3 linked regions of the Drosophila melanogaster genome follow. The protein of the gene in region 2 binds, or shares a complex with, the protein of the main gene of each other region. Each region holds a gene or a part of one and is shown on either strand. Other genes may lie near its edges. The genes, in order: Nprl2, Iml1 and Sec13.

Region 1 (10,475 bases), on a different chromosome or scaffold from region 2:
TATTACAGTTACAGTTACCGTTACCGTTACAGTTTCCATTTCAAAAGCCGCCAACCAAAATGGCATAAATATGAAAAGTTTCAGCAACTTAAAGACAAAACACCCAATTGTCAATTGATTTGGATAACCCATTTCATCCATTAAGAATAATAACTAAATAATGTTCAATTTGAATGTTAAGTCACTCTTTTAGTGAGTTTTAGTAAGTTTTTTAAATAGTAACAAAAATAGTATTTATTAAAAATATTTAGGTTTAACTGGATAAACAATATTCCCATCAACATTTAATCTTTCTTACCACAATATACCCATATTTTCTTTTATATTCTTTTATATTCAGTGTATATATCCTTAACTATTTTTACGTAGTTGGCCAATAAATTCGTCATTGATTTTGGCCCGCAAATTTATGCGCAACGAGGCGAAATCCTTTTTGGCCATTAAGTTTTGGCGCTTGCCCAATCGTTTAGCAATTTATTCAAAGCGTCAGGGCGACAATTCACTTTTCGGATATGGATTCTTGTGATTGGATTTGGAATTGGAATCCAGCTCAGAATCGGGGCGTTTTTTTTTTTTGTTTTTAGCTGCCGGTGTGGCTTTTGCGCAATGCCAAAATTTATGGCCAACCACTTACCCGGCAGCAAGGTCAGAACAATCAGAAGTGCTGCTGCTGGTGGTTCTGCAAGTTCTGTTGGTTCTATTAGTTCTGGTGGTGCCACCGCCGTGTCTCCAGGAGTGGGGCATGCAACAGGTCACCGCGATAAACCAGGAGCCGCTCCAATGAGTCAGCAGCAGCAGCTCGACTTTGATTTGTGGCACTTGGGGGCGAATATAAATCAGCCTGCAACAACAACAACAAAAGGCTGCAGACCCACCCTACACACAGGCCCATGCACTCGAAAAAAAAGTAGAGCTCATCCTGTTCATATCGTGAAAGGCCGAAAAACAAGCTGGAAACAAGATTCCATATGCTGAGTGGTAAGTTTGTAATGTTTAATTTTCAATGTTAATAAAATCAAAAATATTCCTAGACATTGGGTGACTTTAATAAAATCAAAAATATTTCTAGACATTGGGTGACTTAAGGTGGTTTAAAAGTATCATAATTCAACACAATGCTATTCTTCTTATATAAAATCATGAAATACTCTCCCAATTTCTCACTGTGCACTGTAAATCCTAGCCGTTTGCATGAATGACATAATCAGTAGCCATTTAGAAGAATTCTACATTAGGAAGGGCGGTACTTTTCGCCCAGTGCATGGAAACCCATGAAATTGCCGCGCAAAGGTCAAGTCAAGTGAAATTGGTTGGGAAAAAGGCGAGAAAGCATGCGACGGAGGCGCACAGTGAAGAAATTATGTCAAAATTTGAATTAGCAGCTGGGAAAATAAAATGGCGCGACCAGAAAGACAATGGCGGCGCATAAATTAATTTCCCTATCAGCTGCAGCCTCGGAAAAGTGCATTCGCTTTTCACTTTCGTGTCGCCTGCTGCGGCTCCGAATTGGATTGGTCTGGGTGGGATTGGATTGGAGTGGAGTGGAGTGGACGGGTTGTGTGGGCTGTGGTTCAGTTTCCAGCTGTTTGCGAGAATCGTTTCGGGGCGATAAAGCCGTTGACAGAAGCGGTTTCCCTTTTTGAGCGCTGCGGTTTCGCCCTTGGCGTGCGGTGAAAATGCATTTTCCCAGCGATGCCGAAGAATGGGGAAAACTGCATTAGAAATGAGGAAAAACAGTCGCCCGTGAAAATTGGTTTTCGGTTGGTGGTTTTTCCCACTTCAGATAATGGTCTTTCCTGATTTAAACCGAACGTCATTGTTTTTTCTTCAATACGTTGAATATTATCAAATAATGATCACCTTGATCTTTCAATTTAAAATTTCAACGCTTTGCATCATCAAAGTTATCGACTGTTGATTTCGATAGGTGTTTAAATGATAGTAACGGTATTTTTTAGTTAATTTTTAAGTTTAAGTCAACAGTGCTGCCAAGATTTCAAACTAAATAAGCTTTTGTAAGACAAAAATGTACAATGAGTCCAATTTTCAAAATTGATAGAGTACAGTCACAGTATTTAAGCTTAATATATTTCTAATATATATTATCAGAAATTAAAACATTGCTTAATATAGTTATTTCCACAACAATATTCCTAAAACCTGGCATCCCTGGTCAGTGCATTCTTTGATCGTTAGTAAGATACTAAGTTGCATTCCAATTATAATTAGAATATTTTAATTTGCAAGAATTACTTTGTTTTAAAACCATTTCATTGCCAATATGAGCAGCTCTACGCCAGCTTACTACAATGCGGATGCTGTGCGTCAGGTTCTCACCTGGCCGCTGGTCAATAAGGCAGTGGAATCTGCACTTGTAGCTATAGTTAAGCAGAATCCGGAAACGCCCTCCACATCCTTTGCCTTTCAACCGAAGAGGACTTTTATTCCATGCGGCAAGGAACCTGGCAAGGTTCTGCTCACCATGCCCGCCTATGTGGGCAACTACAGGCTGGAATCGTCAAGGGATCCTGGGGAAGTGGAGCACACCCACTCAACACTGGCCTGCAAGTTGGTGACCTCGTTCAGTGGGAATCCCCGACGGGATCCTCCGCTGCCCAGCATCCATGCCCATGTGCTGCTGTTCGACAATCAAACCGGTCAACTGTCGGCCATAATGGAGGGCACGGACTTGACCACCTGGCGCACTGTATCCGCTTCACTGGTGGCCACCAAGTATCTGTACTTCAGGCGCTTTGGGGCGCAGGCGGAGCAGGAAAGGAATATCAACGTGGCCATCGTGGGCTGTGGAGTTCAAGGACAACTCCATGCTGCCGCTTTCTGCGCGAACTTCCGGGTGAGGCAGCTTAATCTTTACAATCGCACGCAGGCAAAGGCACTGGGTTTAGCGGACCAACTGCGGCAGAAATTGAACACCGAGAGCGGAACCCAGATTACTGTATGTCCAAGTCCTCACGAAGCTTGCCAGGATGCCGATATCATCTGCATCGCCACGTACTCCAAGGAGCCGCTTATCCAGTTGGCAGATCTGAAATCCAAACGGGCTGTTCATATTAACGGTAGGTCTGCTGTTATAATGGAATGCTGGATGGATGATGATGACCTACCCTTTATAACTTTCGATTTCAGCTGTGGGAGCCGGCGAAGTTCACTTTTCGGAGGTGGCTCCAAAGATTTACCAGCAGGCCAAGGTCTACGTGGATTGCTATGCCAATGCCGAGGCTGAATTGGTGGGATTACCTGCGCCGATCACCGCTGAAGTGGGTCAGATCATTCTGGATGGAAACTATCCCAAGGAGCTAGAAATCAGCATCTTTCAATCCATGGGTGCGTTTTTATTAAGTTTGTGTAACTATATGACTATCTCTGTCTGTTTCAAAGTTGTATCATTAAAAATTTCATACATTTCCTATTTAAGGCATGGCCTCGGAGGACGCCTGTGTGGCCCAGGCGGTTCAGGATTGCATTATCTCTAGCGCAAAGGATTCCTGATTGCTGTCCAGCTGGCAAAGCGATTCCGGAACCAGCCCAAGCCAAACCAGTGAATTCTTAAACTTTAATGTGTATATGCGCGTATATAAAAAAGCATTTGGAAACATAACAATCGGTTCGCTTACAAACTACAACAAACCCAACTGGCCGGAGAAGTCCTTCCGGTCGTCACTTCCAGATCACAGTCACATTCGTGTCCTTCTCGATATCCCGCTCGATGGTGCAGGGCGAGAGGCCCGTCTTGCAGCAGATCTCGTCAAAGCTGATCAGCCCGGTGTACATCTTCTGCCGCCCGGAAGGCACTGAGCCCGTAAACACCGGGTACTTGTGGATGCAGCGAATGAATCGGTGCTGCAGCCCGAAGATCACCATGCGACGCTCATCGATGTTGTGGTGCTGGGGGCACAATCTCTGGCAGATCGCTCGCAGAGTAACGCCGTGAGTCATCGAGGCGTAGAACTGAAAGATGCGCTGAACACTGGGCAGCGTCTTGTCCGGACGCAAGGCCACGTATTTCCGGCATGCGCCGCTCAGTGATGCGCTCTGGATGAGATGCTTTAGGTTCTGCGTCATGTACACGTTGCTGTACTTCAGGATTGGCAGCAGCTGAACGACCCCGTAGTAGACCAGATTCTGTATGCACGACTTGACCAGGTCCGTTTCCACGTCCGCTTCGGCGGCAATGCGGGCAACATGGTTGATTCCATTTATATAAGGCAGGATCTAGAGGAAACCATAACAGTCCAATGGGATTACTAAATTATTTACATCGTGAAGATTGTATAACTATAGAATCAGGAATAGTCCGCACCTGTTGTGTGGTAAGGTCCCAGTTGTCCAGCGGAGCATCGCGCAGGTTCGCCAGCAGCAGGGGCACCATGTGATCCTTGACCGGCGGCGGGTCCGGCTTGTGCATGACGATCTTCAGGTATATAGTGTTATCGCCCTCAACAATGGTGGCCACCTTCCGCTCGTTAAGGTCGCGTAGTACAGTCTCAAAGATGTTCTGTAGGCGGCGCTTGTCATCTTCGCGAGACAGGAAGCACGACTCCTCCTCCATCATTATGAGGTACTCGGACAGCTTCTTGACGACCGGCTCGTACTGGACGCTCCTGGCCCGCGAGTCGCAGACAAAGCATAGGTTAAACAGGAAGGCATTCCGTGCGTACTTCTGCTGATCCTGGATGCCCACTGGATAGCCGACTATCTTTACATCCATTGCGTTGACGGTGAGAATGCAGCGTTGAAGATGCTGCTTGGGTATGATGTAAACATTGATAGCATCGAACACATCCTTGGATATGTAGTTATCAGGAACCTGAGGGACGTGGATTTGTTCGAACTATACTGCGTTATCAGCGCTCCTGGGAACCAGCTCACCTGGCAGCTTATCTTGCAGCCCGCCGTCGCATGAAACTCGCTGAGGAAGATGCACCGGATCTTGCCCTCCGTGCTGCCATGGGCACCCGCTGCTCCAGCTCCTGATCCGCCTGCTCCATTCGTGACCGCGCCCGCCGTTGTCGACGTCGCAGCCGTCTCATTCGTATGGGAATGCATGCCGTTCAAAAGATTCCAGTATCACCGCATCCACATCCTCTGCTTCCTTCCGCGGAGTGGACTCCAAAGCTTTAACAGCAGGTGGCACAATCCAATAACAGTGGCGGAATTCGCTGTAATGTTATGGTAAGCGATGCTTTAGTGTGACCATAGCCTTACTGCAACAAATATACTCCAATGCAAAAACCAATTATAACAAATTTTAACAACAAATTAATTCAACACCATTTAATTTGTTGAGTAGATCGTTTTATTCATGTATAAATTATCTGTTATGTTAATATATAAAGGCCAACTGTAATATGCGTAGGTGGGGTATATTTTAGCGCTCGCTCTGCGGTCATACTAAAATTTGCAGAAATGGAAACGTGAGGATTGTTTTGTTTTTATTTAGTTTTTCCATTAAACAGCGAATAATATGCAGATGATAACGCTTCCATTTCAGGATCAATCCCACGTTCTCGTACCTCACCAATCTGGAGGTAATGCAGATTCTACAGAAGATCAAAAGCACCAAAAAGAAGTTCGGCATGCGCAACTTGGCCACGGTTACCTATGAGGTGTCGATTTTTTTAAATATTTAACTAATATATGATAAATTAACCAAACACTTTGTTCCACAGGCACTGCAGTATCTGGAGGAGTCGCCCTGCAAGACACAAACTCGTGAGAACATTATGAATTACGTTAAAGACCTGTCTTCTTATCGTCTAAAGTCCCAAGAGATCCTGCAAATGATCAACGATCCGCCTACAAGTGCACTACACACGCAACTGGTAAGGATTAGTCTATCATATGCCAGAAAGGCTAATTAAGTATATAATAACCTCCCCAGCTCATCGACGACAATAAAGCTCCACTAACCGATGAGGAGAACGAGAAAATCATTCAGCTGAGCTACAAACACTTCCATGGTGGAGAAACCAAAGGCGCTGCTAAGGAAACACCGGCGGAAAAGCCTGCGGAGTCCACTGCGAAGGCCGGCAAGCAATCTGGCGTAAAGCGTAATGCCCAGGCAAAATCCAATCCAGCGGAACAAATAGCTCCAGCGGACAAAACCACGCCAGGTGATGGAGTTACTCCTGCGAATGTCGCTACTCCTTCAAGTGAAGCCACTACTACTACTCCAGCAGAAGAAGCAAGCCCAGTGGAAACATCGTCTTCAGAAAATAATGCTACTCCAGCAAATGAAGCCACTACAGCGCCTGCAACGGATGCACCCACTTCAATGGAAACCAAGTCCAATCCGACACCAGATGGAGAAAACCTCGGGTAGCAGCCGCCAAAATAACCCATCCGCTTATTACGTTTAACGTTTCATATATTTATGTTGATGGAGCGTATAAAATAAGCTAAAAAAAAAGGTAAATTATTTATGTTCGCTTCTGATCGCCCAAATCCTCGATGACGTCCTCATCGATCTCGGCCCATTTTTCGGGTATGACATCGAACAAGTCATCCTTGACGTCACCCTGAATGACGATCTCGTCGTCTCCGGTAACCGAGGAGCCGCAGGCAAATTTCGTGCCAAAGAACTTGGCGGCCACCTTGAGATCAATATCTGGAACAGACAGGGAATGTATTATGCTTAGTTAACAATAAAGCTCATAAGTATATCTAATATATCTAAGTTACATGGTATGGTAATGGCTACTCATAGCATCCAGTGGGCCCGCATCCCCCTCCATTTCCTACTCTATACTCATAATGTGCGAACAGAACCTACCAAAAGTGCTCAATCCTGTGACCACGGTCACTGACTTCTTTTTGCCACGTGCCGCCCGCGAGACGCAGATACGCTTGGGCACGTCCTCTTTCTTCTTGACGCGCAACAGTCCCTTGCCACCGCGTTTCTGGCGCTTCTTGTCGTCATCCGTCCCGTCAGCGGCGGCAGCCTCCTCCTCAATCTTTAGTCGCTCGAAGTCATCGGGCATGTGGAGCTCCAGCCACTCCTTGCACTTCTCGTACTCCGGATAGTACTCGCAGTACTGCGTATAGTGGATATATATATATGTAAATATATGGGCCATATATGATCCCTAATATGGATTTTTCCCAGGTTTGAAGACGAACTCACCTCAATGGGCATCGTGCAGTGGCCACAGTACTTCATCTGGATCGGATAGGTGACGCCTTCGCGCGGACCCAACTGTAGGCGGTCGGCGACGCTGTTGGTGCCCACATCTTCGTTCGTCATTGCGGATCGGATTAACTGCCTGGGATTTGCTCCGGGTTATTGAAATATTAAAATAATGACAGTTTTAAGAAGTCGGCTACTGCAAACTGACCGTTTTTGTTTAGGCTCGTAAAATATACTAACATTGACACATGTTAAATAAATACCTACCTAAAATATACCTTTATTTAAATCGTAGTACAATTCCGACTATCAATAAGCTAAAATTAAAATTTACGTATTTTCATTAATTTTACATTGATTGAAACTATTTTAATTTATACCTTGTATTGTATTACAAAATACTTATTAAAATTGTATTTATTGGCAGAACAGAAGAATGTTTCGATAGTAAAATACCAAAATATGTTTGCCTATCAAAACAACACTCGTGAAATACTGCATGAAGGAAGCGGCATTTAGAATAATTTGCCGGTTTGTAACATGCAACCAAAGTTTTTACCAAATTGTATCACAGTAGGCTGATAATTGTATTCGAGCACAAGTCAGCCAAAAATATCCAGTTGCTAACGAAACAAGGCTTAATAAAATGGTCACATACAATACTCTAATACAGAACGAAAAGAATGAAAATGTGGTCGCCCCGATAAGCCGGCCATTCGCCAGAAAGAGGAGGACTGAGATTCGCCGCCTGCAGTCCAACAGGCGGTTGAATAAAAAGGTGTGCAAACACCATTTGGACATTGCCCATTGTACCCAGAAGAAGGCTCCATGGCGGAATTGGGCATACCTCATTCTCGCCCTCGCCGCAGGAATTGGCATGTTATTGCAGTTCACCGACAAGTTGTCCACGGTCAGCGGATTCCTGGAAAGCTACAAAAACCAGTACCACTCGATCGTCCACAACCAGGACAACTACTGCAATCCCTCCCGACGGCTGGGCGACATGGTCCTGCACGCCCGCCACCAGGTACTCAACCAGGATCTTGCATTGAACCAGCTAGAACTGGCACTGGACAACACCACCAATGAGGTGACTAGCGGGGAAACAGTAGATTTAATGTGCATCCTAAGCGGATTTTCCATATCACTTAGTATAGTTTACTATTGATTGTACTACCAGTTGTTGTATATGCTCATCCAGATTTATCCTGGTTATTGCAACAAACAACTAGATGATCTTTAGTAAACTTAATGAATTGCCAATATTTTGTGTATTAATATCCCGGATCTCCTTCCAAACAGGCAATCGTCTTGGTGGGCACCTCTGGCGTAGGCAAGAGCCACACTGCGCGAATCTTGCGCGAAACGTTTCCCTGGCCCGAGAACGTGAATACACTCTCCTGGACCGGCAGTTCTTCTTTGGGCCGAGTGAAGAGCATGCTATCCGGCCTGACATATTGCGGACAGAATATGATCTTGATTGATAACATGACGCCGAAGGATGCACACTTCGTGCCTATCATTAACGAAATGATAAGTGAGGGCGAAAAGAGCGCCAACCACACTGAGCATCCGCAACAGAAGCGGTTGACCATTGTGTTTATCTTTAATGTGAATAGCATGCAGCCCGGCGAGGAGTTTGAGATGGATATGGAGATCCTTAGAAATATGCCACACACCCAGTTGGTCACCTTTGCGACTCTGGATCCCACCCATCTGGTCGACTGCATCCGCAGGGAAGCCGCCATCGCAATGGTGCACCTGGAAGACGAGCACGTAGAAGAGATAATCAAAAGTATCGATGCTAGCGCTTCTGGCTGCAAGTCGATTTTGGCCAAGGTCCTGCTCTACGGCAAACCAATAATCGCAGACTCCCAGGATACTGACCAAGTCCTTCCAGTAGGTTCCTTTTAGTAGGTTTTTAAAGTTTACGTTTTAGACAATTCTGCAAACCAGTCGTGATAAATTTAAAAGCAGGTTGGCAAAAACTATTAGGCTAGCATCCGTGGAATATCAGCAAACAAAGTTTAATGTTGTAAATCAAAAACCAATGTTTTATTCCTGTGTATCGTACATGTACATACATATATGGCCAATACTTTGCTATTTTTGTACTACCATATGTGTAAATGAAATTAAGACGACAAATGACAAAATTTTTGTAAAAGAAAACCAATGGTATCATATAAGAATAAATTTAAATGAACGAATTATATTTAAATTGTAAGTTGACAGCATTCAACCACGATATTAAGTAAATGTGATTAAAATTGCCATATGTGTATAAGAGTCTAGAATCAAGTTCTTATAAATATACTATTTTTTTATTTTAAAAATAAGAAAAAAATTATTGTTCTGCTATCTTAAACAATTATATATTTCGAAGAATGGGAATTACTATACTACTATATATTTACAAGGATTAATCTTTTACACAACTACTATTAGCAATTTAAATATTCGTTACGGTAGGATTCCAAATGATAGATCCTCTGGCCGTCAGCAACCTTCTCTATTGGCAGATCCCTTTCTATAGAGCGTTGCACATTGTTCCCAGGATTTTACTGTGAGTTACACGGATTTTGTTTATGAGCGTTTTGGCAGCAATTCCATAAACTTGAAGGCCACTCTCCAAATCGGGCTGAGGATTGTCTTTTATGTGGCCAGCTTGTTATTGAAGAAAAGCCAATGTAGTATGCCGACCAAAGTTTAGTTGCCTGTGTGTCCAGGTATTTATATATTTATATGTATGCTTCAGCGTTTCATTTCTGCACGTTAGGATCGACAATGCCACTTTGTCCAAATTGTGAATCTTTCGAGATAGGACTATGCTTCAGCTTTAATCGCAACCCGAAAAGTATGCTACTGCTCCGAAGCACCCTGCTCCATTCTCGGGCCATTAGGGCAAGCGAAGCCCATGCGCTTCTGCTGCTGTTCTGGCTTTTGCCTTGTTTGCGCTTTATGGGCACTGCGAAGAGACGCTCCGTTATCGGATAGCACGGATAAGGGGCGTCGTGTGGCAGCCCGATTTGCTATTCCATGACAGCCATGGCCTACAAACGGAATCGGCGAACCAAGCCCAAGTCGCTCGATTGTCCAGGGTCAAGTGCGTTTGCTTATTTTTATTGGCTACTCGTACACTCGTTGTCCCGCAGGCGCACACGACGTATGCGTGATGTGGGTGTACGAGGTGTACAATGTGTATGATGTGTGCATGGGTGTTCCATTGAGACGACGACCCACTTCCGGACGAATCCGGGCTCCGACCTTCCGGATTACGCCCGCCGAATGCTGAATTGCCCCGCTTTAGTTTATTTTCAGCGTTCTC
Region 2 (10,475 bases):
TTTTCTAGTCAAAGCAGCAACTGAACTATGTTTCTACATAAGCTTTTTAGACTATAACTACTATACAGCCAAATCTCGAGCAACGAAGTGTATCTTCTAGTGGTGTCTTGTGTGTGGTTGGTTGTTGTGTTGTGGTTATGTGTGCTTGTGTTCGGATGCATCGCTAATGCTTTGTACAGAGTTCAAAGGTGGTGAATTTGATTTGTCCAAACCTATGATGATCTTTCCTCTTCCGCCGCCCGCCTCCGCATCGGGGGGCGGGTCTAGAGCCCTTAGTGCCTCCAGGCTGCCCAGATGATGATGCTCGCCCTCGACGATCGGCCTCAGATGCTTGACTAAACGATCGGTGGATGGGGTTCGATGGAATACGTATGTGATGGGTTGCAAATTTCGATTCGTTGGTTAGATCCGATTGGATTTCATTCGTGGCGTTGTGGAATAAGGTGAAGGGGAATAAGGTGAATCATACGTTAGATTAGATTAGACTTAGTATTCGTTTCTATTTCGAGAGGGGTTTCTGGTTAGGATGAGCTACTTCGAATGCATTAATCCCCGGGGTTGCGGTTAATGGACGGTGGCTTTTGTCTGCACCCGAAGCTGTGACGGATCTCCACCAGGAAGGCGATTCCGCTGCCCAACATTCCGCACAGAAACAGACTGAACGCGGGCACCAGCAGATTGAGCGCCAGTGGGCGGAGCCTCAGTTTCTCCTCCAGCTCCGCCAGTGTGGAGAAATCCTTGAGATAGCCCATGCGATGGGCCTTGCGATAGCACGTATCCAGCCAAAGATCATGCAGCCCGGCTTGCTGCACATGCAGCAGGAATCGATGGAGGGCATCCTTGAGATGTGAGTCTACCCTGAGCTGGTACTGATAGGGAAAGGAGCCGTGGCAAATCTTGGAGAAATAGAAGCGTTTCTTTCTCAGAAAGCGCTGCTGCATATCGAAGAAACGCCAACGAATTGTACTGATGGGGTAAATATACTCCGGATGCATGGAGATTCTCTTCTGGCTGAAGTTCTCGGCATCCGTGCAGCTAAACTTTGTGCTAAACTGCTCGGCATGACCCAGGGAATCAACGATGGCGTACACATCCGTGGGCAGCACTAGAATGCGATACGGCAGCAGGAATAGCTCCTCCAAGCTGTTGTCTGGTCTTCGGATCAGAGTCACGGTCAGAGATGAAGTTAGTTTGGTGCTGTACGTTTGCCCAAGAATGAATATTCCGAAGAGGATCAGAAAGGTACTAAAGCGCCTGACCGGCTTGCGGTTGCCATATCTGACTTGACCAGCACCAGGCACTCCTAGTATGGCCCAAAAATGTCCGTCTGGAATCAGGCGGCGCACATACACGAAGTGCACTACGAGCAGAACAAACAGCAAGCACAGCCACATGGTTAAACTAAATGGCAGGAACACATAGAGGCTCCTCGAAATTTCATTGTCCAATGGGATCATGAAGCAGCGCGGTGCCACCTGCGTGGGATATGAGTAGTCCACACTGGTGTTTGATTGCAGTGTGTCGTACAAGTGCGGACTCAGCTCCACCTTGCCCTTTACAATCAGATCCGTGAGCGCAGCCATATTCAGCAATGAAGAGCCATTTACTTCAAATCTAAACAAATCCATGGTCACGTTCAGGTGCATCATCAGTTGATTGATCAAGATCCCGCCCAATCCGGCCAGTTCCCAGGCCTTCGTCCTGCGATTCTTGTACCAAAAAGTATTGGGCACATCCTGCTGTACGGGCAATCGCATCCTGTAGCCTCTGAAATTTTTTCGATTTGCAGGCGGAAAAACATGATGCGGATCATAGGAGGATAATCTTCGCATGCGTATCACCCTAACAGTGGGATATGGATCCATTTGGTAGAAGTTTCTGGCGGCCACCACTACCAAAGCGCTCCGGAACTGCAGTTTCCACAGGAGTTCAAAGAAGTATTTAATGTCCTTTTGCGACTCCTGCTTTCTTAGCAGGAACATAGTCCTCGTGTAACGCCTTCCTCTGGCTCTTTCGGCCTGCAAGTAAATCACCGCATCCTTGGAATCCCTGGCGAAGACCAAATATATGGTCTCCTCATCCTGCAGGCTGCTGAAGTGGACGTGCGAGGAATCCTTGTCCGTGGCCGTCATCTGCGGCAGCATGTAGAAGTGATTGCTGCTGTTGCACATCAGGCCGCGATGCAGATCGTCCAGATAGCTGGGATCAACAGATCCCAGGCTGTTCACTATAGTGATGGCATGCAAGCGATGCACGCGGCCGATCCTGTCCAGAAACAGAGCCAGCTCGAAAGCGCGGTCAAAGTTTTCGGTGGCCACGATTTGGTAGCGCGACAAAAACAGCGCGAACAAAAACTGAAGATACATTTTCGCTCGTGAACCATGCCAAACTGACTGGGATTTCCATGTACGCCGAGTACTTCAAGTGCATCTCGAATTATTTGCCCCACGATACGATCTCTAAAACAAAACCTGAAAACTGTTTGCCTAACACTTACCCGTGGTAATTGCTGGTGTCCACTCTTGCTCCCCAGTGGCTCCCCAGAGGTAAGACTTCGCCTGGGTGGCCGTCAGGTTGGGCACATTGGCGGGCTGGGGGTTCATCGGCGAGTTTTGACGCCGCTTAAAGACTGCGTATACAAAGCAATGCTAGTCGAGGAGGTTTAACTTTAGTTACTGCTACTCACAATCAATGGGCTCATCACCCATCACAAAGCTCTGCGAGGAGTCTGACTTGTTGAGCAGCGAATGGCTGGACACTCGGTCGTACTGCTCTCCATTTTCGCACCCGTAATCCTCCTGGTCGTTGTTGTTGTTGCTCTGCGTCTGCTGCAATGGTCTCTGCTGACCAGCCTGCGTGGGTTTGGCGGGCACCGCTTGATAATGATGCTGCTGTATGAGTACACCGGTTGGGCCCTTCGGGAATATGTGCGTCCAGCGGCGGCGATTGGAGGTCAGCTTTATTGTCACTTGCGAGGGATCAAAGGGATTGATCAGAGCGCGACCCGGACGCACTATGGGCGCAATGCTAACGATCGTCCTGCGGGAGTTCTTCTCCGAGGCCAGTGACTCGGAGAGGTTGGTTGTATCCGGTTGCTAAAGTCACATAAAAACAGTTCAAAAGTCAGGTAAAAAGTCAGTATTAAGATTTCCCTTACCAAGGCAGCCAGCATTGCAGAGGTGCCGTGATGAATATCGGGATCGGACATCTTGCGCCGCATAGCCGGGATTTGAGTCGGCGTGAGGTTCTCCCAATCGTTGTTCCTATAGGCATAGGTCTCTAAACTGGGCACCGATGTCTTCTTAGCCCGCACTACACGCTGCAGGGAGCTAAGAAAATAAAACCTTGATCAACAAAGCTAAAAAGGTAATTTTGTAGCACAATACTACCAAGTACTCTGAGCGGGGAGCGGCTGGAAGATCTGTTCATCATACGCATCGTAATCAAAGAGCGAGTTGTGCTTATACTCCGACTGATTGCAGCTCAGGAAGTGACGCTCGTTCTCCTCGCCCTCCCCGTCGCCAACGCCATCGTGGAGCGTCAACTGGGATCCAAACAGAGGCAGCTTGATCCGTGGTATGAAACTGGAGTACACAATCTTCTTGTTAGTGGAGTAAAAGCTCAAGTTTATCCAGTGGGGCAGAGAGTAGTCATCGGCGGAGGTCAACGTGGTGTCTTTGTTGTGGAATTTGAGAAGCGGAACCGCATGCAGTGGCTGCTCGCCCACACAGACCAGGTCGCTACCCACGCCATTGTCGATAATGCGCTGCTTCGTGATATTGGTTAGCTCTCGATCCACGGAAAAGACACCCACTCCTGGGGTTATAACCACGGATAGTTGTCCGGTGCGGTCGAACGTTCTATCCAAGTAATGCTTTTCGAAAGTGTTCAGCGATATGTTTAGCACCTCCAAAAAGTTACCCTGAGTGGCTGAAGAATTGGTGGCCGGTGGAATCTTCATGTTCTCCCGTTCGTGGTAGCGCAGCACAGTGGCCTGTAAACGGCGTAGTAAGTTTTTATAATAGAATAAATTAAAACATGGTTAAGTGACCTGGTAGGACGTGAATAGCTTTCGGAGCTGGCCCAAAACGGTACACCAATCATCACAGCGCTCATTCTGGATGGCCACGCGGTAAAAGTCCTCGTAGAAGCGACCCTTGTAGTCCTGCTGCAGGCAGTCGCGCATATGCTCGGGAAACTCGTCCAGGCTCTTGGCTGCGTAGAAGGTGCGGGAGAACAGCACGATGGTCACCTCGTGGTTACAGCTCAATTTTCGCCACTTTTGAAAGAGCTCAGTGAGAAACCCATTGACTGCCTTTTCGAAGTACAGGTCTCCGTGGATGTCAAAGTCCCACATCTCGGAGGACATCTGCAGGAAGAGGTACACCATCGAAGTGCTGCTGCGGAAGACAATCTTGGTGTCCTCCGTGATGACACCGCTGGCCACGCGCTCGCCTTGCGACCACATCTCGTACACCTGGCACCGAATCTGCATGTCGTTGTAGTCGATCTTCTTGTTCACATACACACAGGTGTCCGTCTGAGGGAGAAGTGGTACGTTAAAAGTATATCCTGGTCTGAAAACTGCGTGATTCCTTACCAGGTAGGTCTTCAGGCGCCACATTTCCGAGCGACCCATGTACTGGTCCTTGAAGGTAATCTCTATCGAGTCCAGGGCCACATCCGCCGGCTTAACTATGCGCATCACCACATTGGAGTACGGACGCATTTTGAAGGCATTGGCGATGCCCGATTCTATGCTTATCACATCCCGGCCACAGCTGCCATTGAACTCGGTGATTTGGAGCAGCAGGTGGGTGCCGTTCTCCTCGTCGGGGGCGTAAATTTCTACCACATCGCCCACATTGGCGTTGGGATGATCCTTTAGATTCATCACCAAGTCCGCATCTGTGCCGAAATTTCCGTGTAACGTAATGTTTGCGCAATATCCACTTTCGCTTACCGTAGGATTTGTTGCAGCCACGCGTATGCGTGTTCAGCTTGTACAGCTTCATGTTGACTTAGTGGTTGCAAAACCAACGGACAATTATTTACTCAATTCCAACATTTGCCCATTTGCATGCTAGTAAAATAAAAATTCTATTTTTTCGTCTTTTGTTTTGATTCCTTATCTGCAGAGTGACCGCAGGCATGGATTATTTGGTATTTTCCTGTACAAATATACCGAATTTAATGTTTACCTTTAATTGTTATTGTAATTAATTAAATCACGCAGTTTATTTATATTTTTCAAGGTAGCTCAACACTTTTATCTTTTATTGAAAAACTAACTTAATCTGCATTCCCTGTCAGCTTAATTATTTTCATATATATTAAATTAAATAATGATTTCAGTTACGTAAGCTTTTCTGTTATGTATGTTATTGTGTGATTTGTATTATTCGTCACAAAATTTGAATTACCGAACGTTAGGGGCAACCGATGCTTTCGTCACTAGACTCCTACCAATTCAGCGGGGATTTGGTGCGTTGCTATTGACTGAAATTTTTTTGGCATCTATGAAGCCTTTTAATTTACCCACAAGTGTAGCCAAAAGTTAACATATTTTACAAACTGGCGAAAAACTTTACTAATTAAAATAAATGTTTTTTTATATTATCGATTTAACACATATACAGTTGCGTAAAAAATAGCACCACCATAGCGCGTTTTATTCTAGATACAAATAATTAAGGTTGCACCGAAATAACGCAATATTTTCGAATAAAATTTTTAAAAATAGTTCTGGGTATTTTTCCTATTCGAATATAATAATAATCTGTAGAATGCATATATTTTTTGCAGCTTTATGCTTATATATGTAGTCAGTCTGCGTCACAGAAGCGCAATCGATTTCTTTCAGATAAGACCTTTTTAATTAAAAATGTAATTTCACCTATACTTCTGGAGGAAAATGATTGTTACATCGCATTAAAAATAAACACCCCCACGCTAATCAGTTTGTCCGCTCCTGAATCTATCAATTTCCATCTTTCTGACCATGAGTTAATCTAAGCAATTAGAACGTTCTATTTAAGTTTTCCGTACAGCTTTATTGTTTACACATATTTATTTGCTTAATGAATTTATCACGAAGTGACTACAAGCTGCATTCGTTGTTTTTCATTGAATAAATTTTATTGGGTCGCAAATATCAGTGAGTACATTTCGACAAAAATTGTTTAAAGACAGTTCGTTCGCCCGCGTAAATGGGTAATCCTCCGTCCTCAGTCAGATAGCTGCACTCGACTCGCTCCATTCCGGGTCCACCATCCATCCAGCTTCCATCATCCGGACCCCGGACTCGTATTTATGATCCTCGGCGTCGGGGATTGTTTCGCAATCGGTTGTTTGTTTATTGTTTGTGGTGATTAGAACGCCACTGACGACAGAGATCGCCAGATCGGGCAGATAATTCGCATTCTCTACTTATAGCGAGGGTTATGTATACAATCGAGGCGCGGGTCGCTCACCAGGATGCGTCGAAGTCGATTCGTCGGTTCGAAAATGAGTTTGCTCGTATATATGTAACTAACAATGCAAAGGGTCAAAGGGTCGTCGTCCTCGTCAATCACAATCTCAATCTCAACATGCAGCTTAAACGGTAGACAGAACCACGAAACTGGCTCCTAAAGCTAACTAAACACGTACGGACTACAAGTAAACGTTAATCACTAGGGAGGATGGGCTGGAGCACCACTCTCACATCGCCACGGTGGCCAGGACAACGGTGATGTCGTCCGGCTTGCCGCCACGCGCCTGAATGTTATTCCTCCTGGCGCTGAGGGCGAAGGGCGAGAGGAACTCGCTGTTGAGGGACAGGGTGCGCGCCATCAGCGCCAGGCTGTTGGCCGTCATCTGGAGCTTGACGGGATCGCGTTCGCCCTCCACCTCGCTAAGCACCTGCAGCATTAGATCCTCGGGCACGTTGTCGAACACTCCGTCGGTTGCAATGAGAATCACGTCGCCATCCCGCACCGGAAAGCTCATCGTGTCCGCCGACTCAGGGCTGTCGCTGAGGACATTGGGCCCATGTCCCGGCGGCGGCAATGACAGTTGGAAGGGTGTGTTAAAATAGTGCTGCTGCTCCTCGGACTTGTGAACCACCTGGCCTTCGCGCACCACAACGAAGCCGCTGTCGCCGATGTTGGCCGTGTGCACGGTGCTCGTCTCACGGTTGAGGATCAGGACGCAGGCGGTGCTGCTGCCCAGTATGGGCTTCTTCTGCTCCATCAGCTCGCAGTAGCTGTAGGCCAGCAGGTTGACTGGTCGTTGGGGATTAAAGTGGCTGCACTGCACCAACCGCTCACAGGTGCGCATCAGGAACGATGAAAACTCTCCGGGATCGATGCCATAGCTTCGCCAGCCGCCCACGCCGTCGGCCACGCCCATGACATCGGCACTGGCGGTGGAGGCCTTGAACCATGAGTCCTCGCCGTACTTTCCCGGCTTGTACTTGTGTCGCAGGTTGTCCTTGGCGAAGCCGCACACCACCGACACGAAACGGGGTCGTGGGGCGCCCGAGGATCCTGGTGTCGCTCCCGACTTGGTGGCCCCCTTGGCTGCTGCCCCACTTCCGCCACCCGTGGCCGTTTCCAGGAGCGTGGAGAAGCTGCTGCGCAGGGCGCGAGAGATCGCACGCGAGGTCCAGCTGAGTGACGAGTGCATCGCCCAGAACTCGTGGTCTCGTGCTCTCAATCAATCAAATCAATCGCATGTGGGGGGGTGTCGGATTTGGATTCGTTTTATTCGTTTGTTACGACGTCGGAGTGCTCCTCCTTGGCGTTCACTCCTACACGCCACTCCTCCGCACTCGTTTTTTCCGGTGCAAAACTCCTGTCTCGACGGGGCACACAATTTACGTTCCAATTAAATGCGAAATGTTATGTGATGAAGTGATACACTTTTTCTCGTCAGGTCGCGATCCGGTTCAGAACTGGTTCGGTGCTGGTTCCCCACCCCAACTCTCCGCTCCTGAACGGGTTCCGAAACCATATACACCCTATTGTAGTAGTGTTATTTTCGGAACCAGTACAACTCGTTTATATACACCAACGGTATATATAACAAAAAGGGTGGTAAAATATGCAGCTTTACTTATTGCTCAAGTTTTAAAAAACAAACATATTTTTCGATGCAATTGTTTTTCGCAAGTATTTTTCTGCTGGTATTTTAAAGAAACCCCCTTATGCTTTTAGTTGAATTATTATAACGGTCATTTTCTTTTGGTTTACTCCTACTTACACAGCCTGGTCATACTGGCGACCAAAGTAGTTTGTTTTTGCCAAAAAAAAACTCAGGTCTGCTCTACTCCGCGATATTTGTTTGCCCAGCTGGTCTTTGTTGTTGGTAGGTCCAAACAAACACGCAGCCAGTGTTAACCCAGTTTTGGGGCTAGTGATTGCTGTGGCTCCCACGGCCCAGCAGCGGGTTAAATACGACAGTGTAATTGTGAAAGAGGAGAGTGTTGTGTTGTTGGTGGTGGACGTGGGCAACGACATTGGCATAGAAAATTTTGCATACACTCTCCTTCGCACACGCACACCTTCGTCGAAATTGTAAAAATAAAACAAACAAGTAAAAATAGCACTTGGCTTGTTGTTGTGCCTAAAGTTGTACGTATTTTGCAGACGGAAATTGATTGGTTGTGTAAATTCGAAAGTGCACGAAATCGCGAGCGCATAACGGTACATGTATACACACACAAGCAGCACACGCACACACATGGAGGCAGTGCTTTTTGTTTGATGTCCCATTTGGCGGATTAAAGACAAAGAGAGAGAGACAGAGAAACGGAGGAGGAGGACGAGGACGCGATGACCACAAGGGAGAATGTGGTTTCTAGTCGCCTGTCCAAGCTGATGCTCAGCAGCGGGAGTGGAAATGGCAGTGGCAATGGAAGTGGTCCCAACATCCAGGTGGCTCCATCCTCCACCCTGGTGCAATCTCCCACCTCGCCCGGGGAGCAGTCCCAATCTCAGTCCGAGCTGAACCAACTGAAGCGGGATGCGGATCCGCAGTTCTCGCGCTTCGCCGACTACTTTGTGATATGTGGACTGGATCTGGACACGGGTCTCGAACCGGATCGCTTTGCGGGTAAGTGATGAATGCTCGCCGAGATTGGGATTAACTTCACATCTACGCCTCTTAGGGGACAACCTACATTGCTCGCCGCTGGATCGCGCCTACAAGAGCAAGCCTTTGGCCCATTATCCCGAGAACGTGCCCTGGAATCCCTTCGATGCCCACGGCATATGCATGGTAATCATAAAGACTGTTTGAAGTCACTCCCTAGCCATCTTAGGGTGGATCGGTTAATGTCGATTAGATAATGTATGATAGTCTAAACTATTTAAATGGCTTCCTTCATGCTTATTCCCAAACACACATCATTTTGATGAATCATTAGGTCAGAGAGTGATTTATTGCCATCTGTCAATGGAATCAGTTCAGACTGCTAAATGTGAATTTTTAATTATTTTTATATTTACATTTTTACATCATTACATTGTAAGTGTAGAACTGAAGCATAGAAAAACTTATATCTTGCGAATGACCGAGCCACCCTAATCCATATTCATGTCTAATTGAGCTCAATTGGCTGCCCTTTCGGTGGAAATTCATGCTTGGCTAGCTAGTTCATTGATACACTCGTCCCGAGTTGTTGTGAGAGAAGCACTTATAATTGATGCCACGAATACGACAGCGTCACCCCTCCACCGATAAACCTTATCTCGGGCATCTGGGCATGTGTTCGAATGAATGGATTTTATTTATGCCCGCCACTTGAGATCGAGAACTCACCCCCGCCATTTGTCTTCCACAGCTCTCACTACCGCAGGGCCTGCGCTTCCGCACCCAGAAACATTGCATCGAACCCCGTTTCCACTCGTTTGCCACGACACGAGAAGATGGAAAGCGGTGCTATGGGTTCAGTCTGGTGTTCTACGAGGAAATTCGGAATCGAAACATTTGCGGGGCCATTCACACGCTACAGAGCATGTTCATCACAGAGCTCTCGAATGGCCAGCAGACGCATTCCCTCAGTCGGGTGAAACAGGATGGTCCGGTCAGCCGGTCACTGCCAAGGCACTTTAAGGTGGCCGGACAGGCGCCGCAGTCTGCACAAAGTTACTACGACATCAACAAGGACAAGTTGTACGTGGCAAAGAGCATCACGCTGATATGTCAGGCTCCGTACGCCTTTGCCGCTCAGATGTTTCTTAAGAATCTGTATAGGTAATTGAGATACATATAAACGCAGAATCCTTGTACTAAATTTCATTACCTCTTATTACCTAGATGTCTTCCTCGACAGCCTGGTGCTGGTATCAGCTTGGAGTCCTACGTATACAACATACTCTACGAGGTTATGCTACCGCAACCGGGCAAGTCCATTCGGGTTTACCTGCCTCCCACAGAGCCACATCTGCCACCCATTGCTTTGATTCTTCAGCGTCCGCTTCTTGCTACCG
Region 3 (10,475 bases), on a different chromosome or scaffold from region 2:
GAAAATATTTCTCACAGTCGCACAGACAGACGCGCGAGATGGCCAGCAAAATTTGTTTCGTCTGCTTTTATGTGCACCTAATTGATTGGGGCAAGTGGAGGAGCCAGGTAATGCATAGCAATAGTGCCATAGTGCAACCAGGAACTGCGCCGATTCCTACCACCAGCCAGCTAATTTAGATTTATGGCGCAAATCGCAACTTGATGCGTGATGCCGCCGAGACAAGCCGCCAGTTCCTCCTCCTAAATTTGCTCCACCTCCTCATCATCTGGCTGAAGGTGGAGGCAGCGGGCATGGAGGAGTCTTGCATGTGGCCATTTGTCATCGGGATCGAGGATCGTGTGCTGCAGCTGCGATTTCAGGCCGCTCCAAACGGGCACGAACTCGAGTTCGAGCGCAAAAGATACAAAAAAAAAAAAAAAAAAGTATCTCTTTCTCCCGCGCTGGCTGTTATAATCTCGCAAATGTTGATAAATTGAACGATTGCTGATTTTCACGCTGCAATTGCCCTGCGGCCGTGTCACTGTGCCAGCTGGGAAATAAACATATCAACATGATAAATAAGAGGAGCGGGTTATCATCAGCGGTCCCAGAAACTCGCGGACACACCGGACACACACTCATGTTGCCCGAAGGACAGCCTCATAAATCAGCAGACAACTGGACAAAATGTGAGCCGTTTTAATCGCTGATTTCCGCTTCACAAGAAATGCAAATAAAATGCGAAACCAGAATGTAAGATGCATTTGGCACAGCCGAAGTCGTGATACCCTGGATTTAAGACAGATGCTGATAAAACTCTAGATCTCTACTCTTCAAACATTACATTTTATATCAAACTATTTATAAATGCTTTTGAAATTTTCATCTAATTTTTAAATCTGTTCAAATTAAGCATTCCTATTCTGATAAAATGGGAAGGTAAGCAACTCTTGTGGCCAAACTGTTTCATATTTATTAATCATAGTGGCGAGGTGGTGAGGGACTAAGTCTATTTTTAGCCTGAGTTTCAAAAGCTATCCTTTCCTTTTGGAAAACAGGTTTGCATATCGGACAGACACAACTTTATGTTTGACCCTCGCACTCTACACTGCACTGCACAAGTGGGTTATTACTTATTGATTTTGTTTATTGAATTATTATGTGTTTTTGTTTTGTTTCTGTTGTTTTGTTGTATTTGAGGGCAACTCTTTCAGCTAGTCGCTCATTGGATGAACAGTAAAACTAGGTTTACAAAACTTTCGCCTCGGACAGATCGTCCAGTGGCTTGCTGGGCGGGGGGATCTTGTACTCGGTCTCGGGCGTCTCGTAGATCTTCTCCTCCTTGGGCTCCACAACGGACACATTGTCGGGCAGCGGCTTCTTGGGGCCGATCTTGTTCTTGGGGTCGTAGGGCAACATGACCTTGACCTTGATACCAAGCACTCCCTGGCGGAGGAGCACATGACGGGTGGCGGTCTCGACATAGTCGTTGCACGGATCTCCCGAATGGATCATCAGGCCATCGACGAATTTCATCGACTTGGCACGCTGACCACGCAGTTTGCCGGACACGACGACCTCGCAGCCCTTGGCTCCCGACTCCATGATGTAGCGGAGCACACCATAGCAAGCACGACGGACGGCCAGTCCTCCGGTGAGCTTGTACCTCAGCGACTCAGCCTGGGCAATGGCGCACAGGCCACGAGCGGCCACCTTCTCGGCGTACAACTCAATGCGTCCGGTCTCGAAGTTGAAACGCTTCTGCACCATGGCGGTCAGCTCCCGAATGCGACGGCCCTTCTCGCCCAGCACCTGCTGGGTCTTGGTGGCCATGATGATGATCTCAGTGCGAGAGGGGGTCACACGGACCTCCACGCCGGAGTAGCCATCCTCGGCGAGTTCGCGAGTCAGGAACTCGTTCAATTCAGCCTTGAAGATGCCATCGGAAACGAACTGGGGAGCAAAAAGAAACCATTATAATCCGCATTCCACATCTATTGCACACCTAGCAATCCTCCTTCTTGTTGTTGTTGTTTCACCACGCGTTGTTGAGTTCCAAAGTTTTTGGGACGCCCATCTGCTTTGAGGTTAACTCCGAAGCCGATGGATTTTCGCGCTTTCCGGCCGGGTTTTTCACACAACTCCGATGAAACAACGAACGTACGGACACTGCATTACATGCCGGAGGTAATCCTGTCTCATTTTTCCCCAATTACCTTGCGTTTCTTGGAAATCGGAAGGTTCGCATTCATTTTGACGTCGAATCGGAAACGTGGTGCGCAGAAAAGAAAGAGGCCAGTGTGCCCGCGCGAGACACGTTAAAAAATACCACCCGGTCTGGAAATAAATACCACTATATACCAATTTGGTTTCCAAAAATTACAGTTATACACTACTGAATTAAACAATTTATTTTAATTACTTTTAATATTCATTAATTTAAAATGTTTTTTAGCTATTTGCTGTTTCTGCCTCGTTTTTACTTAAATTGATTCACAGTAGTACTAGGCAGACATGGTTCGGAAACTAGATTACAACAAGCTTGTACACAAACCTAAAGTGACATTCAAAAATTGTGTAAAAATTTTAGTTTTGGAATTTATCTGTATGGTTAAAAATAATAAGTTTGAATAAAATTTGGTTAATTATTTAAATCTTATTATACTATTATTTTTAAATACATACTACTTACAATTTGCAAATATATTTGATAAAACTTAAAAAAAATGATACCATTTCGACAAAAACTTGTCTTTAGAATTCATTATAATTTCAGAAGATTCAAATAGGGATCCCATATGAAGTCCAAATAAACATACACTAAACAGCGTTTAAAGGGGCACATTAAATAGTATTTCGTATATATATATTTGTAAAGTAACACTTTTAACCACGACTTCAGCACGACAATATTTCGGGGCTGGCTCAGTTGGAGAGCTGCGAGTTGGACAGGTTCGAGCTATGCTCCGAATCGGAGGAAGGACCTGGATGCGATGGCGCCTGTTGTTGGTGCTGTTGTAGCGCCTGCTGCTGCTGGGAGTGGGAATGCGGAAGGTGCGAGGGCTGCTTCGACTGGATGGCCGTACCCGACTCGTAGTTGATGCGGATCCATTGGCCCTCCGTGTTCTCCTTCCACAATGTGACATTGTTGTCCCCACCGGTGACGGCAAGAATGTTGCCGGTGGTTGACCACGAGATGCTCCACACGGCATCGTCGAATGTGTGCAGCACAGTCGAGGTCCACTCGGATAGATCTGCGTTGCTGCTCCACACAATCACATGGCGATCCTGCGAAGCCGTGGCAATCTGCGAGCGGGGCAATCCGATCGACGGCGCCCAGGCCACGTCGCGCACCCAATCCGAGTGCGCCTCCAGTCGGTGCTCCTCCACCCAGCGGTCGTTGTCCTCCCGCCAAATCTTCACTAAATTATCGCAACCACCGCTCACTAGGCGCTTTACGGCCGCCGAACGCGAAGTTACGCGCTGGTCAAATGCTGGATCTGGTGCCTGGGCGGGGCACCACGAGATGGCATTCACTCCGATCGTGTGCGCATTCGGTATCTTCTTGGCATCCCACACACCGTACTCCGTGTTGCAGGTGAGCACCGATACCGAGCCATCCGAACTGGCGCAGGCCAACACCAATCCGTACTCGGATGGCGCGAAGTCCACCGAGTTTACCGAGGAGTCGTGGTTGCTGTATTCGTAGCTGAAATGTGGCAAGCACAGAGGTTAGATGTGGCACTCTTTAAATGATAACGGAAATCTAAACATAAGTATGACATGGCGCATTGCTACCTCGTAATCTCGTCAATAAGAGAGTATTTTATTGTGTTATGACAGAGGGAACAATTTAAAGGACACCAACATATATATATATTTATATATATTTATTATAACAAGATCTGATTCTTCTTGTTAAATATTTTCAATACCATGATGTAAACAATTATAAATGATAAATTACATTTGATACAAGACGTCCAAGCATAAATATTAAAATAATGATTTCCAAAGCTATTAAAGTATTATTATTAATCAAGGATCAAGCTATTAAAGTATTATTATTAATCAAGGTCCTAACAATGGGTATCCCCTGGTCGATTCCTAAAACAAACATAACTTTGTTGGTATGGGTGTGCCCGTTTACTTACAGCTTAGTCCAATCCCGGGGCGTTGTGGACTTCCAGACGATCACCTTGCGGTCGTAGGAGCACGATGCCAGTATGTTGCCAAACTTGGGATGTGCCCAGGCCACCTGCCACACTGGTCCCTGGTGTCCCTTGAGCTCGGCGAGCGCCTTATTGTTTTTGCGCGAGTGAAAGATGCGGACGCTGCCGTCCGAGGAGCAGGTGGCCAACAGTAGGCCGTAGAAGTCCAGCGCTGCGTGGTGGACCATGTCCTCGTGCTCGGTGTCGATCTCTTGCAGCAGGCTCACCATCTTGCTCGAAATCCGTTCGTCCGGTCGCCAGATAAATTGATTAAATGCAAGTCGTGTTTTTTTCCGGCGCTTGACGTGGAACCTGGTTGAGCAGTGTGACCTGAGCGCGGCAGTGGCTGATGGTTACACTTGCAATTGATCACATGGTCACTCTAGTCCATAGATGAGATAGAATAATTTCAAAGTTTTTAGTTCATATTCATATTATTCATATTCATATTATAGTAAAACAAGAATTTATTAATTATATTCAATTTAGATCGGGTTTTGGCTTGTGTGGGATTTTAGATACAGTTTAGGTGGTGTTTTGGTATGAACGTTTATGGAGCAGTTTTGATTTAAGTTGGACATGTATAGTAAGATACATAAACAGACACAGTGTATAAATTAGCTTTTCATAATTTGTAATATTTTTATTATAGGCTGTATTTCGATAGAGGCAAGTAATTTAAACGGATTGTTGATTAAAATTCTTGTTCGCAACGAATATAATCTATATGATACAGCTGACAAATACAGGATAAAGCAAAAAATCAGCTTAGGAAATACCCTTACTATTTAAAAAGCTTACGTCCAATAGTATCGCATACACCCATCACGCGCACATCACTAACACCAACTGCCATTGTGAACTGACAATTGTAACTTTTCCGCACGAAAGTTAGCATTTGCAAAGGAAAATAAGGTGAAAACAAGATTTAAAATACATAAAAATTGATTGAGGGAATACAATTTGAATACAAGATAAAGTTGCTAGCAAAGTCGGCTTGAAAACCGATTGGGAAACGTCGAAACAAACAATTGTATTACATAACCTTTTTAAGGTTACATATGAAGAAGGCCGTTTATTGCTATTCTAACAAGGATCTATCAATTCCAGATGCTGTCGCAATCCCTGCTGAGTGGCATGCGTGTCCTGCGCACAGAGGCCCGTCGTAACTTCGGAATCGTTGCCCCTGCCCTGAACAAGGCCTCCGATCCCATCCAGCAGCTGTTCCTGGACAAAGTGCGCGAGTACAAGCAGAAGAGCGCGTAAGTTCTGGCTCCTTCATCCGTTGGTGTGCCTCGACATAATCCTTGTTTTGCTCACCTGCAGCGGTGGCAAGCTGGTGGACTCCAATCCCGATATTGAGCGGGAGCTGAAGACCGAACTGGACCGTGTGGCCAAGCAGTTTGGCAGCGATGGCAAGACCGACATGCTGAAGTTCCCCGAATTCCAGTTCCCCGATGTTAAGGTCGATCCCATCACCCAGGCCCCACAGTAGAGATCGCTCTTCGCGAATGAGTTAGTCTAATTGCTTTAAGTTCAGCTGCTGATTTCGCCTGTGCGCCCCCAAAAACCGCGGGCAAGTCAACAAAAAAAACCAATAAAATCGGGAAAACAACAAGCGATTCGTATGCGAAAGCCACTAAAAGTGTGTGAATCTCATTGAATTATAAAGCGCGTCCATTCCTTAACACAGACATTCGTCTTGTGCGACATCATAAACTCAAAACTCATTAAAATCGAATTAAATTCCATTATAAATACAATATATTTAAGCCCTACGATCTAGAAAACAACAACAAACTAGGTCCTAGCGTGGCGTGGTCAGCGCCTGATGAACAGTCTGCTGGAGCAACTGCATCTTGTGGTTGGCAGCCACCTTGTTGAATGTGCCCAGCAGTGTCTGGATGTCCTTCCCGCTGATGAGGGGCACAAAGTTGCCAGCGCAAGTGCAGAACTCTGCCAGATTCTCGCGCTTGATCTCGCTGCAGCGCGAACAGCGCAGATCCTGCAGCACATAGGACATCATCTTGCGCTGCAGTGCATCCAGCATTCTCATTTCGATCTCCTCGTTATCATAGGCCACATAGCACTGGGCACACAGCCAAACGGGTCTGAAAAATCCAACATTAATCAATTATTTGTGGTAAATTATGTGTACTGGTTTGTGTAACTCACACTCCATCTTTCATGGCGCGATGCTTGTCCTTGCAGAGATCCAGGTCCCTGCAGTGATTACACGCTTTGCAGATGACCTCGTTGATGATGTGACTGTCGCAGGGATCCTCCCACTCAGCCAAGTCGGAGAACTCACCAATCCCCACCAGACGCAGCATATTTCGGCGCAACTCGTTGATCTGCTCCGCCAGCGTTTTGTCCACACTCAACGCCTTGATCAGAGTGCGGATAAGTTCTAGGCCCGGGCTCGGCTTGCCCTTGCCGTAGTTCTTGTGCAGCTTCAGGATAAAGTCGAACGCACAGTGTGAGATGTCCTTGATGGCCTGCTCGGTGGTCTTCTTTTCAGCCAAAGATTGCATGAAGAGGGTCAGCAGGGATTCAAACTTTTCGCGGCACTCGTTTTCATCGGGCAGATGTTCGCCAATTGTCCAGTTGAGCTCCAGGGACAGCTCATCCTCTTGATCCTGCTCGGCCTCGTTGCTCTCCACTGGATCACGGTTTTCCGAATCCTCTTCTTCATCCTCGTCGTCATCTTGATTGCGTTCAGAATCCCGTATCATGGTAGTGGAAACTATTGACGACACTGTCTCATCGATTCCCTTTGGTAGCTTTCCCCTAATTCCCGAGAAATTTGCCTGGTCCATCCAGAGCATAAAGTTCCAGCATTGCTCGAAGCTCAGTTGGATGGAGTGGAACATCTCCTTGTTCCTCAAGCTTTGCACAATGTAGTCCACATAGCCCAGGGCATCGGAAACGGTTTTCTTACCCGAACTAAGGATAATCCTGTTAAAGTCCGCATAGATAATGGTGGCGCCCAATCTCTTGAACTCGGCTATAATGCGCAAGAACATCTTCCTCATCAGATTATTCAGAGATCTTCTCAAAGCAGGATCATAGAGTAGTGCATTACTGGAGCGCACCCATCGATAGAAGTGCACGATCTGGAAGTCCGAGAAGATGTTCCTATTGATGGATACCTCTCGCAACCAACCATTCACCATGGAGCGCATAACGCGGAAGGCGGCGGAACAGAGGGCCGTTTCATCATAACTCGGCAAGGTGGCCGCCGGAACAGTGCCAATCATCTCCTCCAGCGAGACCTGCGGCATCACATCGAACGTAATGGCAGATGAGGCGCCTTCCATTTCCTGAATCCTAGTCGATTGGAGCAGGGCACTCACCGCCAGGCTATCCAGAGCCAGCTCCACGCAAACATCCGGATAGAAACCGGCCTTGTTTTGCACCACACTAATGCTCTCCTCGAATTCCGCCAACAGCCGGCTGTCGTCCGCCTCCCGGCCACCCAAATCTGGTCTGGTACTCGCCGACCACCACAGCACAAAGTTATGCCGCTGCAGCAAGCGAGCGAAGAAAAGATCCGCTCCGAAAAGCACAGTATCCGGCGGCATATTGCCAATGGGCACATGGAAGTAGCGACACTGATCCAACATCAAATCAAGAACATTGTTCAGATTCAGAAAGTGGCGTATCACTGCCCTGGAGCCCTGTCGCTGCCAATCAAGGCCAGAAAGCAAACTAGCGTCATCGGAGATATGAATCTCAGCCTGGGGAAACTCCAGCAGGATCGGCATGGCCAGGCTGAGTTTACGCGCCGACAGCGCCGTTTGAAGGCACAGAATGGTGGGTCCCTGATGCTCCTGTTTGTAGGTGGTCAGTGCCCGCTGTATGTGCCGGTAAATTTGTTTGACATCCACCTCAATGAGAACCTCAAATGTGTAATCCTCTACAGGAATTTTATCTTGCTCCTCTGCCGTCAGATTCTTGAGCAGGGCCAAACGCTCGGCGGTATACAATTGCCTCATGTTCGGCATTTGATTGGCACGCACTGTGTCCAAGGCAAAAACAAATGCCTTCTTGCTGGGCATTAGGATCAGTGACCAGATCTCCTTCTTGGCCGTCGGTGTGTTATGCTGATACAAGTAGATTTTGCGCAATCGATTGTTGGCGCTAGCCAAATATTTGACCTGAGTCTGGGGCCGCTGCTCCAGCTGCTCGATGCTAAATGTTTCCAGATCCTTGGTGGCCAATTGGGCCAAGCGACGTGCCTCCTCGCGCTGGACACCGCAAATGCAGCCCATGTCCATGAGGGCGCGAAATTCCAACGTCATCTGCGTCTCGTATATGCCCTCAATGTCGGGCGTCGCCAGATCCGCCAGCATGCCCAGCGAGTTATCCCGGAAGAGCTGTTCGGGCACACTATATCGATAGAGATTGAAAACAGGTCTGGATCGTGGCAGAACTCGATTGACCTTGCGCCAAAGTTGACCCTCCTCTGGAGGAGCTGCACTTCGCTGATTTACATAGAAAATCCTCGGTACCGTCAACTTGATCTTGTGCAACTCTTCGCCGATTAAGGCCCACACAGTGAAGTGGCCCAGGTCGTCGACGGGCACCAACTGTACGATCTGCCACGGCTGGTCCAACAGGGTGCGTTGTGCACGTCTAAGGAATCCGCCCAGTGTAGCTGTGGATCCTGTTGCTCTGACCACCGGCGGATCCTCGCCTCGAGTTCGCTTGCTCGCCTGGCGATTACGCTGGCGCTGATCCTGCTGCCATTTCCATTTCTTCTTCTGAAATCTCACCCACTCAACGATGGTCTTTCTGGTTTCACCGATGGGCGGTGGAGCGCCCAAGGCCTGACGCCAAGTGGTGGCCTGCGGCTGTGCCTCCTCGTCATCGTGCTCCTCCAGCTGGATTCTCTTTCTCTTGGTGACTATCGGACAGCCTGCAGCACCCTCACCGCCATCTTTACCAGCCAAATCTTCCATATCGGCCAGCTTGTCCTCCTCTGTGGCTAGAGGTTTCGGTTTGGGTCTGCTGGTGAACATCTCATTGATGCGACGCTGCTTGAGCACATCGTTCTTCTCCAGCATTTTCTTGTGCAACCAATCCGGATGCTGAACTCTGGGCACTGGATTGGCCAGTCCCTGCAGTGCCGCCGGTATGGTTATGATCTTCTGAATGGTCCCACCCAATCTCTCTATGTAGTAGTTCCAATCGAGCACATCGCGTATATCCGCATCGCCCATGGTGTTGTCCTTAAGCCAGCGACGCAGGTGATGTCGCCTCACGCTCGGTTCGGATTGGAAAATGGCCAAGGGAATAGCTCTCTCGGTGACGGGTGCTCCTTCGGGTTTCTTCGAAATAATGTACTTACAAGCCAGACCCGCATCCTTTACCATCTGCTCGCCCAGGAACTCAGCCAATCGCTTGGCCGTGGAGATGGACGTACTCTTTTGGGCGCCATACTCCTCAAGCTTCTTGGACATGCTCTTGTTCTCCGAAATAAGTTCGAATAGCTCCGAGTCGGGTAGATTTGATCCTCTGCTGTAGAGTACATCAAGCCAGTAATCCGCCACCTTGGCCACAGATGCATAGCATTCCTCAAGTGTGCTACCAGCGAGGAAAGCTTCGAAGACGGAACTCTGGAAATTTTTGATCAGCTGCAGTTCACCGCGTCGCTTCACCTCGAATCCCTTGAGTTCAGCCAGTGTGCCATCGAAATTAAAGACCGCATATCTTTTCTTCAGCTTCTTGCCCTCCTCTTTGGCAGCGGGTAACACCATGGCAAGGTAGGGTCCATCCACCTCGAAGAATATAGAGTTCTCATCTCGAATATCGTATTTGGGTAGATTGTTTTCCTTATCCTTCCTCAACTCGTGGTACTGATCGTTGGTAAAATGATCTTTAACCATAGTGTTTAGCACTGCATTCGGATATGATATGTTAATCTTCTTTTTCTTCTCATGGCTCGTGTGAATGGTAAACTCCTGCGGAAAGGAGCCAGGCAATATGCACCATATACCATCAGTGTCCAATTCGAGTGGTCGACCAACTCGCTCGATAATTTCCCTCGCCTTGGTGATAATATTCGAGCCCGTGAGGCACACAATGCCGGCCATAGGCATGGAATGCCAACGGGCTCCTCTCCTCATCACGTAGCCATAGAAGGAGTTCAGGATGCACTTGTGGGCCAACTGCAGGGAATCGTAGAGCACCTCCCTGCCCTTGGCTGCCTTGATCTCTGCCGCGTCTCCCGAAGCCACCGCAGCATTCACCGATGCTTTTGCCACTTTGGTTAGTCCT

Evidence for each region.
Region 1: Iml1 (region 2) and Nprl2 share a complex: the UniProt entries of both Drosophila melanogaster proteins name them as parts of the GATOR complex.
Region 3: Iml1 (region 2) and Sec13 share a complex: the UniProt entries of both Drosophila melanogaster proteins name them as parts of the GATOR complex.

The regions. Positions count from the first base shown.
Region 1 is NC_004354.4:16,879,174-16,889,648, forward strand, and holds Nprl2 (nitrogen permease regulator-like 2), read right to left. Parts: upstream 5,193-10,475; 5' UTR 5,068-5,192; coding exon 4,891-5,067; intron 4,829-4,890; coding exon 4,322-4,828; intron 4,234-4,321; coding exon 3,679-4,233; 3' UTR 3,511-3,678; coding exon of another isoform or gene 3,437-3,510; 3' UTR 3,346-3,436; downstream 1-3,345. Other genes in the region: CG4872 (uncharacterized protein), read left to right, coding at 2,282-3,077, 3,148-3,345, 3,437-3,510; Polr3I (RNA polymerase III subunit I), read left to right, coding at 5,428-5,435, 5,513-5,627, 5,691-5,843, 5,903-6,343; DENR (density regulated protein), read right to left, coding at 6,441-6,628, 6,794-7,055, 7,145-7,264; CG4880 (uncharacterized protein), read left to right, coding at 7,794-8,237, 8,450-9,061. UniProt on the Drosophila melanogaster protein: An essential component of the GATOR subcomplex GATOR1 which functions as an inhibitor of the amino acid-sensing branch of the TORC1 signaling pathway.
Region 2 is NT_037436.4:1,528,894-1,539,368, forward strand, and holds the start of Iml1 (increased minichromosome loss 1), read right to left. Parts: upstream 5,142-10,475; 5' UTR 5,016-5,141; coding exon 4,964-5,015; intron 4,909-4,963; coding exon 4,601-4,908; intron 4,541-4,600; coding exon 4,052-4,540; intron 3,995-4,051; coding exon 3,390-3,994; intron 3,330-3,389; coding exon 3,158-3,329; intron 3,096-3,157; coding exon 2,687-3,095; intron 2,630-2,686; coding exon 2,498-2,629; intron 2,367-2,497; coding exon of another isoform or gene 546-2,366; intron 336-545; coding exon 213-335; intron 1-212. Other genes in the region: Ir62a (ionotropic receptor 62a), read right to left, coding at 546-2,366; CG12091 (uncharacterized protein), read right to left, coding at 6,703-7,668; pns (pinstripe), read left to right, coding at 8,817-9,096, 9,152-9,261, 9,827-10,239, 10,303-10,475. UniProt on the Drosophila melanogaster protein: An essential component of the GATOR subcomplex GATOR1 which functions as an inhibitor of the amino acid-sensing branch of the TORC1 signaling pathway.
Region 3 is NT_033777.3:23,350,614-23,361,088, reverse strand, and holds Sec13 (secretory 13), read right to left. Parts: upstream 4,812-10,475; 5' UTR 4,424-4,811; coding exon 4,137-4,423; intron 3,692-4,136; coding exon 2,908-3,691; 3' UTR 2,558-2,907; downstream 1-2,557. Other genes in the region: RpS3 (ribosomal protein S3), read right to left, coding at 1,231-1,935, 2,199-2,234; ATPsynCF6 (ATP synthase, coupling factor 6), read left to right, coding at 5,304-5,455, 5,520-5,688; PolE1 (DNA polymerase epsilon subunit 1), read right to left, coding at 6,001-6,304, 6,369-10,475. UniProt on the Drosophila melanogaster protein: Functions as a component of the nuclear pore complex (NPC) and the COPII coat. At the endoplasmic reticulum, SEC13 is involved in the biogenesis of COPII-coated vesicles.